Drosophila melanogaster: one gene and its partner. The protein of the gene in region 1 purifies or fractionates together with the protein of each later gene. This does not show direct contact. Each region holds a gene or a part of one and is shown on either strand. Other genes may lie near its edges.

Region 1 (5,703 bases):
ATAAATTTGTTTAAATATATGATATATTTTTGTAGGTATACGGTTACAGAGTGCATGCTTTAGGGTGCCGCATTGGACGAACATAAGCTAGGATAAATAACTAGTGGGTTTCTTGAACTGAATGAGTGATTTTGTTAAGTTTATAATACCGAAGAATGTCATTAGATAACCGCATTTTCATTTAACAAGTTTTAATCTTCGCTAATTTATAAAACATTCCATATGTGTTAACATATTAGATATTTATATATTTTTTCCAGCATTGTTTTCCATTCCTCAGCCTAGTACATTGATTATCATGCTCTCATGGGCTTTAATGAATTACGTTCAAATGCATTGTTCAGAATCTTGCCTAGAAAACTAGCTACCATAAGAAATAATATACGAATATAAATACTCAACGCGGTATTATCGCTATCAGAGGCTTACTCAATACCTTACTTCTTACATATCCTAGCGGCATTCAGTCCAAAGCGGTCTCCCAGCTGTGAGATCCGAGAAACAAGTCGCGTCCTTGTTGTACATTCACTATTACATTTATTACTTCATTTACAATTCATATCATACATATTCAATTGGTTGGGTCCCCTACTTAAGCTTAGTTAATACACAATATCTGAATCCCGACATCTCACACAAAGGAACAACACTTATTGTAATTGAGCTTGACTTGATACAAGTAAATTGATTTTCAGTTTTGTAGTTTTTACCTTGATGAAAATGCCAACGACAGTTGAACAGTATAAAAATGTCTTTAACCTATTCTAACTAATACAAAAATAAAGTGAAGTCCTTGGAAATGCATGTGGCTCTTAATCGAAGGGGAGCGGGAAGTTGGAAGATGTTCAGTGGCTCAGCCAGCCGCACTTGATAAAGAACTTGCGCAGCGAAGTCTCCATAGGACTACCCAACGATGGTGCTCCGCTCAAGCAGACAGTCTTAACCGAGAGGTAGGTGGTGGGCGTAATATTATGCTTCTTGCACAGATCCAGCTCGTTGTGACTGAGCAGTTCACTGCCCGGCGGCTGTGGCAGATGTTTTAGTTCCTCCAGCTGGGTGCGCAATTTCAGGCTCATGCTGGGCACCTGATCACTGCCTCCGCCGGCGGCCTCGTTTTGCATTTTGTGCTGGTTGCCGCTTTGCAGGAGCTGAGGATGCTGCTGCAGCGGCTGCAGATGTTGTTGGCTTCCCTTCGCCGAGTTCGTTGGCAGATTCGCCATCGTCGTAGCCGTGGAAGTCACTCCCGTCGTCGCTCCCGAGTCCACTGTTACCCCCATTACCATTCCCGTCGTCTGCAGCATCGTAGCTGCCGACGATCCCCGACAGCTATCCAAGTAGTTTTTGCTGGGCAATAATGCGCCGGAGCAGGTCGGGTCGGCGATGTGGAGCGTGTTTCTTGGTGCGATTGAATTTGAACTTGCCTCGCCGCCGCTTGACATTTCGCTAAATAAACGAAAAACCGAATTATTCAAGTTCTAAGGTAATTGCAATTTTTTGCCAAAATACTTACACCTTTCTGAGATTCGGTTGTGGGGAGTGCAAGGAAGAGCTTGGCGGCCGATGACTTCCATTGGAGGTATGCGTGTGGTCCTGTGGTTAAACATTGTCTTATAGAACCATTCGAACGCTCGTTGTTTGGCGCGTTTATTATGCAGTGGAGCTGAATATCGTGAGACAAGACGGAAAAGCGATTGTAAGAGTTGGGTCAGTTCAGGTAAGGACGACGGTTAAAGCAAGGCAGAACACACGATATTCAACTCGTCATGCATTCTCAGTGGGAAAAGCTTACTCCAAGGGGAATGAAATCGAAACTAGCCAATTTGACCATTTAATATTCTGTATTAAGTATTCCAAATCGATTTATCCAAACTTTTATCTATACATTCAACTTAAATCATTTGTTTTCTTTCAATTTAAGTTAATCTACTCATTGTTGATAAAATTATAAAGCTACCGGTTCCGGTCACCTAACACCTCTTTTAATTTTTGTGAAACAATCGAAAGAAAAGGTAATGTTTGGATTTTAATAATAAAAAAAAAAATAACAAAGTTCCAAAAAGTTCGGATTTTCAAGACCAAATAAAATATTTAATGGTTAGTTCGATTTCGGCACCCCTGTTGCGGAGCCTTAAACTTACGGTCTTGCCATGGCCATATGGTCCTGTAGAGCGGTGCGTCGCTGTTGCGGCGTGCTGCTCGAAATGTGTGCATTCCGCGATTTTGGTCAGGCCATTATACCGGTATCGGTACAGCTCTGACTGTCGAATGCGCAGTTCCTTTTCGCGCTCCAGTGATCCCAATAGCCGCTCATACTCGTTACACGTGTAGAACTGGGCGTAGACCCGAAATCTGTCCCGAAACTCGCGCTGCTCCTTGGTGAGTCCTTGTTGCTGAGCGTAATTTCTGTTTCGGAAGAAATTTGATACTAATTGATAGTCCCTGACCATCCGTTTCCTGCGAGCACGCTCTCTGAGTCGGCGGGTGTATATGTCAACGTGGGCCAGCTTAAGCATCACATCCACCTCCGTATCCTCGGAGCTTAATGAGATGTTCGAGATCAGTTGCTCTGCCGTGGGATCGTACTCCCGCTCAAAGCTGTCCCTGTTGGGCATGTAGCCCAGCTGCATGGCCTCATCGGAGTTGATTTCCAGTGGAGGCAAGGTAGAGAGAGCATTGGTGCCCAGAGGACCAGCGTCGTCGTCTCCAGTGTGATCGATAAGGCGGGGTCTCTGGCTCTGGGCCGGCGTCCAAGTGGCCCTTCCAATCGTGCCATTTACAAACTTATTCACGTACTCCTCTTTGGCATCCTCCGCTGACTTCGTCTCAATGTGCTTGCTAATGTCCTCCCAGTTTCCAAAGCCGTACTGCTCGATTGCATCCAACAGGCGGATTTCCTCTCGTGCCGTCCACGCCCCCTTTCCACGAAATACACTCAATATGGAAGTGCCGGTGTCCATGAACTGGTAGGAGTGGTTGTTTTGATGGGCGCCGATCTCCGCACCTGCGGCAAAGCACTGCGCAAAAAATAAACAATACAATATAAATACAGAGTCAGCTGTTTTTTAATCAATATGGTGAAATTGCCGGTTGTGTGTATGTATTATTTGAATGTCTAGATGAGTCAGTTTTTGGTTCCAAATTGGCGACGCATCTCTAGATTGTACGAGTGTGGGTGTAACAGGGTGGGTCGATTATGTTGACAAAGAAAACGTGTAAATAGTTCCTCGATAAAAATAATTTGATTAGGAAATTAAAACAGAAACATATTTCATATTCCCTAAATTTACGCTTTGTCAGGCCTTTTTTTAATACAAGATTCAGACACTTATTTTGACATTTTTTTCTTTTTAATTTATGGCATTTAACTAAATAAAAATGACACTGCTAATTCGTAAGGAAGTAATTTTTAATTAAATTAACTACGATAGTCTACCTATTTACCAAAATCAATAAACAAATTTCCTTTAAATTAACAAAAAGTTAAAGCAAATATTTTTCTTGTCAAGATCTGGGTGACGTTAATTTAGAGGATTGAGGCCATATGGCCATTAGTTTGACCATCCAAAGAGGGTGATTCAAGAATATTTTGTTAAAATAACTGATTTTTATTATTTACAAATCTATATACAAGTATCTAGAACCTCAAAAAGAGCGAACCACCCTACTGCAACATGTATACGTGCGTCGCTCGACGGCGTGTATGTGTGAGTTACTTACTTGCAGACACAAATCGAAGTTTTCGCACTCCGCGCAGTGCACTCGAATGCCCTGAATATCATCCTGGCAATTTGTGCAATTATACTTTGTGAATAAATCCGCGATTGTGGTCATTTTGGGCCAAAACCTGGATTTTCACGACAATTATGAGTTGTGCGAAAAAAACCTATGCCAGTAATGTGACCAGACGCGAAGTCAACGCCATATTGCTCTACTGAGAATTCTTATATGTACGGCCAACGAACCGAACCAGTTCATCGGAACAGTGCCGCCTATATAGCTAGTCTTAAAGCCTTTTTAGCTAATTTTCATAATTCTGTTGAATCTCTGAATTATAGTTAATTTCTAAATTATACTACTTACCAAAAGTACCAACACATTAAATATAGAATACAAATTTCAAACATTAGGCACATGTTCAAAACTCTAATGTTTATGCGTTAAATATTGATAGTAGTTTATTTAATTATTTTAAAAGTTTAATTCGAGTGTTTTGCCTTTTTTAAATTATCACAAAAAATAATATTAATATATATAAAATAAAACTAAAATAAAAGAAGTGCATATCAAACCAAAACAAGGTAAACATAAATACGAATATGTGATGGTTGAAACATTTGTAGCGTGGTGCTGAATAAAAATATAAAAAACTCATGTGCTTAAATGCAGTTCGATACGTAAATTTAAGCGGTGGTCAGGATTAAAAACTTAAGCTAAATTCTGAGTTACAAAAAAAATATAAAATGGGTAAATATCTTTTGTTTCAAACAAAAAGTGTAAAAGTAATAACTGCCGAAAAATATTTCGGTTGCTTACATCTAACATGAATAGGGCGTGGGACTGCCGAGATATTGTAGGTTACAATCATTACAATCATTGGGAAGGATTTGGGGTAGGCTACGCTGTATAAATAGTTGATTATTCGATTAGTTCATATGGTGAATACGTTTATATTATTGTTAGTATTGCTGTCTTACACCGAGCAGTAGCCGAATTGTTATGGGTTCCAGATATCTCAGTGGGCGGTGAGGACTAGTTTGTGTTGCATGTGGCTTTGGTGGCATTGTTGCTAGTTTACTCTTGCTAGTTAGCTTGGACCAGAGAAAAACAAAACGAGTTACACGATACAAAATGGGTTAACAGATCTTAAACAGATATGGCAAGTTACTTGTGCAGCTGCGCTTTTCAAAAACACGCACACGGCCAACAAAATTTATCAATTCGAGTACCTAAAAACGTCTAAATAAGTCTATTTGAGCGCCAAATTCGGTTTTGGTGTCGCACCTGCGTCTGATCCTAGGGACTGAAGTATGTTTAACAATACTGTTCGAGGACATTCAAGAGTTTGAGATTCACGATTTTCACAGATACGGTTCGATTTGAATTCGCTTGCGTAAGGAACTAAGGAAAAGTCACAGCGCAGGCGCGACCCCAGTCGTCATAATTGACGACTGGCAACGGAAACAGATCCATGTCCAGATCCGTCTGAACCGCCTGCTCCCAGCATCGAGACTCATAAGCAGGCGGCCGCGATGGATGGGCTCTCAAAATTTGCATAAGCGAGTAGTCCTAAAGCATAACTATCAACTAATTTGGTATGTAAAGTCTTTGTGTCTTTGTCATGGGCATTGGCGCGATGAGGGCTCAAGGTCCTGTGGCAATGGCCAACTAGCAACAGTATGACCAACATGCCGGCAGATGCCACAAACTCTGCACCATACTCACTCGGATATGGGAACCGATTCGCTGTGCTCGGTGTCTCGTCTTTGTCTCTAAACTCTCGCTGCTCATCGTCATCGTCTTGGGAAGCGTCTAAACATTGGCTAAGCTTGGCGGGGATCACTGGTGTGGTGAAGCTGGAATAGGTGCTGACATGGCTTTTGGCGGCGCTCAGCCCAACAATATGCATATGATTGCACACACTGTGCTCGATTTCGGGATGGCTGCTGTTGTTGGTGACGTTGGATCTGCAGCTACTGCTACTGG
Region 2 (3,656 bases), on another chromosome or scaffold:
AGTACTATTACTACACGAGGACACGAGGCTTGTTCCGGATCTGCTATCCCAAGGAGCGGCCGCCAGTTTCAGCGGGTGAGTAATGCTGCATTTTACATCACATGGGAGTTATTTAATCCATTTCCATTCCCGTCGCGCAGTGCCCACCTATTTGTCACCGATCGAGACACACTGCTCGAACATCGACTACTTCCCGCAGGCGGAGGACGAGAAGATCGCCAACGAGGACGCCACATCGCGTCTCCATTTGGCCCGCTCCTGCATCGCTCTGTTCATCATCAGCTTTGTGACCATCTTCTGTGCGTTCTGGACCGGATTATCCGGCTGCTGGAAGCGGTCGTCGGGCGCCATCACAGCCACCTCGATACTGCTGCTAGTCACCTGTCTCCTGGCCGCCGGCGCCATGGGACTCTGGCACACCGTCGAGTTCTTTGAGAAGGAGAAGGTCGTGGGCGAGGATTACTTCCAGCAGTGGAACACGGTATGTACACCAGCTGCATTGGGCATGTATGTGGATTAACTAATGATGAATATCTTGATTTATTAGGTCCTGCGCGACAACACGAAGATCGCCTACGACTGGTCGTACATCGTGGCCTGGGCAGGAATCGGAACCTGTCTCCTGGCGTCCATTCTGCTCTCCGGCGCGGCCGTTTGCCTGCGCAACGAGCGGGAGAAGGAGGAGCAGCTGAACCTGCAGTACCTGATGCCAGGTATGTCCATCGTGCTGACCCTCTAATATAACTAATGACTAATTTTCGGTTTCCATTTCCAGTTTACTCGCAGAAGCAGCCACCCTATCCCCCTTATGCCAACTACGCCCAGCCGCAGATCTACCCAGGACCTTACTATCATGGCTCGCAGTACGGACCCTACAACTACTAGAGGCACACCCGAAGGGGCCAGCCAGCTTCAGCCAGCAGCTGCAATTGAGTTATAGAGACATAGAGATCACAAATCATGACCAGGAGGGAACCTGGTAGCCCTCCCCAGTAATCAAAATAGAGCAAGCGCTAACGAAATCTTAAAACGCATACATTCTGACAATGAAAATATTACTTAAAGCATCAATTTTTTTTTTCGACAAGAATCTAGTTTGTAGTCTATATAGAGCTATATAGTATATATATATATGCTTGTATGTATAACTGATCGTGGGACTTGAGTCAAAGTTGCGTCCAAGTTTTTGGTGCGCGAATTGTTTGCGCGTTATTTTGCAAATATCTAAGAGAGACGAATGGATGGATGGTTTTATATGTTGACCACGGCGAGATGGCGATTTAAAGACGGAACAATAAAGAGTTAATTTATTGTAGCACGTAACGTACATGTAGCGTATCTAAAATAATAATAAAGAAATATGTGTATGTATCTAAGCTAAAAGTTTCATTGTACAATGTATATGAATGTAATAATGCGCGACAAGCTTCAATTGTCTTCCAAGTATAGTGCATATTGTATGTAGAGCTGTACGTTTAATGAATAAAAGTTTCTTACGTTAATTTAACAGTTTTTAGCTCCTTTTGGCGGGACTTCGTTTTTGTTTTTCCACAACTGGGGTATTCAAGTTTTGTTAATAAGCTTATCAAGTCGTGTGAGAGAAATTTTTGACTTTATTAAAACTAAACAGAATTGTAGTCTTCATTTCACTCTGCCATTTGTTCTCGTTTCGTTAATTCCGAAATATTTTGAAATTGTTGTTTCTGATAGTTAATATTCCACCTATTGGTCCACCTATTATGCCAATGTGGTGTTATGTGATCTGGTAGAAATATGCTTATTGTTTAATATTTTGGATAAGCTTCATTAGATTTGTTCCTACATTTAAAAATCGATTTCTAATTTAGCCGTTTTTTTTAAATGGCCAGAGCCAGAGTTGCCACCCTGCAGTCCAGCGGCGTTTTCCACACTAGACGTCTGCATCGATAGTATCGCATAAGCTCACCGATTTCCGATAGACCCGTATATATGTACGTGCACAATTTCAATGGAATAAACAATCTTCTTGCAGCAAAGCCGACGTAAACATAATAACTATAGAAGTATGAGCGCAGAGAAGTCCGATAAGGCCAAGATCAGTGCCCAAATCAAGCACGTGCCGAAGGACGCGCAGGTGATCATGTCCATCCTGAAGGAGCTGAATGTCCAGGAGTACGAGCCGCGCGTGGTCAACCAACTGCTGGAGTTCACCTTCCGTAAGCGGCGATTAATGCCTTGCTTTTCCCACATCATTTTCCTAAATGCTGTCTTGCATTGCAGGCTATGTAACCTGCATTCTGGACGACGCCAAGGTGTACGCCAACCATGCGCGCAAGAAGACCATCGACTTGGACGACGTGCGTCTGGCCACCGAGGTTACGCTGGACAAGAGCTTCACCGGGCCGTTGGAGCGCCACGTTCTAGCCAAGGTGGCCGACGTGCGCAACAGCATGCCCCTGCCACCCATTAAGCCGCACTGCGGTCTCCGACTGCCGCCCGACCGCTACTGTCTCACCGGCGTCAACTACAAACTGCGGGCCACTAATCAGCCCAAGAAAATGACCAAGTCGGCGGTGGAGGGCCGTCCACTGAAGACCGTCGTTAAGCCCGTCTCCAGCGCCAATGGTCCGAAGAGGCCACACTCCGTGGTGGCCAAGCAGCAGGTGGTGACCATTCCCAAGCCCGTCATCAAGTTTACCACCACTACGACAACGAAAACGGTGGGCAGCTCCGGCGGATCTGGGGGCGGCGGTGGTCAGGAGGTTAAGAGCGAGAGCACCGGCGCCGGCGGAGATCTCAAGATGGAGGTGGACAGCGATGCGGCGGCCGTGGGCAGCATCGCTGGCGCATCCGGTTCGGGAGCAGGAAGTGCCAGCGGAGGAGGAGGAGGAGGAGGATCATCTGGCGTTGGAGTGGCCGTCAAGCGGGAACGTGAGGAGGAGGAGTTTGAGTTTGTGACCAACTAGCGAAACGACATCATTTACCTTAAATTAATATTCTTAAACCAGACCAAAGCACTTGCATTTGGTTGAGCGAACTGGGGGTCTAAATTTCAACTCGAATGTGAAGTCCCAAAAACCTTAGTATAGATTCGCCCGTTAATCATTATGAAATCTACGTTTTATACACAAATACAACTACCAGATTTTCATATTAAATATAACATTTATTTTAGACTCCAGTCGCGGATAAAGTACATGTAATGAATGTGCTGAGTGGGATGAGATTACTTTAAAGCTAAGATGATGCAGCAGCCAAGGTCCATGATCTGCAGATACTCGGAGCCGCCGTCCTGCAGTCGAAAGCAGCATTCCTGTGGGATAAAGGCAGCAATAAACAAGAGGAATCATATCTATCTATGCAGTCAGTACGTACGCCCAGCTTATCGCAGATCGTGGCCTTTTGCGGATCATTCAGCCCCGGATGATGGACAATGAACTCGACGAACTGTTCCATCATTTGGCCAACGCTGTAGGCGGAGAAGCCAATCTCCCGCACGAACTGCTCCAGGCGCTCGTAGTTCCCAGAGCGACAGACCTCCAGGTAATCCTCCAGATAGTACTCCGGTATAACGCCCGACATCTCGAACAGATCAGCAGTGTTGATGATGTGCTCGGGCCCTTTAAGGCGGTAGCAGGACTGCAAGGTGGTGATAGCGCGTCGCAGATCTCCGCCGG

The links.
Region 2: the proteins of Ada2b (region 1) and Taf9 purify together in Drosophila melanogaster (affinity purification with western blotting; 4 studies listed by BioGRID, with this or other methods). This does not show direct contact.

The regions. Positions count from the first base shown.
Region 1 is NT_033777.3:8,236,593-8,242,295, forward strand, and holds Ada2b (transcriptional adaptor 2b), read right to left. Parts: upstream 3,924-5,703; 5' UTR 3,832-3,923; coding exon 3,718-3,831; intron 3,015-3,717; coding exon 2,139-3,014; intron 1,661-2,138; coding exon of another isoform or gene 1,591-1,660; coding exon 1,511-1,590; intron 1,444-1,510; coding exon 846-1,443; 3' UTR 522-845; downstream 1-521. UniProt on the Drosophila melanogaster protein: Component of several Gcn5-containing histone acetyltransferase complexes that regulate nucleosome organization; involved in acetylation of histone H3, particularly on Lys-10 (H3K9ac) and Lys-15 (H3K14ac).
Region 2 is NC_004354.4:17,840,215-17,843,870, forward strand, and holds Taf9 (TBP-associated factor 9), read left to right. Parts: upstream 1-1,946; 5' UTR 1,947-2,044; coding exon 2,045-2,195; intron 2,196-2,259; coding exon 2,260-2,945; 3' UTR 2,946-3,134; downstream 3,135-3,656. Other genes in the region: CG6398 (uncharacterized protein), read left to right, coding at 1-75, 141-481, 548-713, 776-885; CG8142 (uncharacterized protein), read right to left, coding at 3,206-3,292, 3,355-3,656. UniProt on the Drosophila melanogaster protein: TFIID is a multimeric protein complex that plays a central role in mediating promoter responses to various activators and repressors.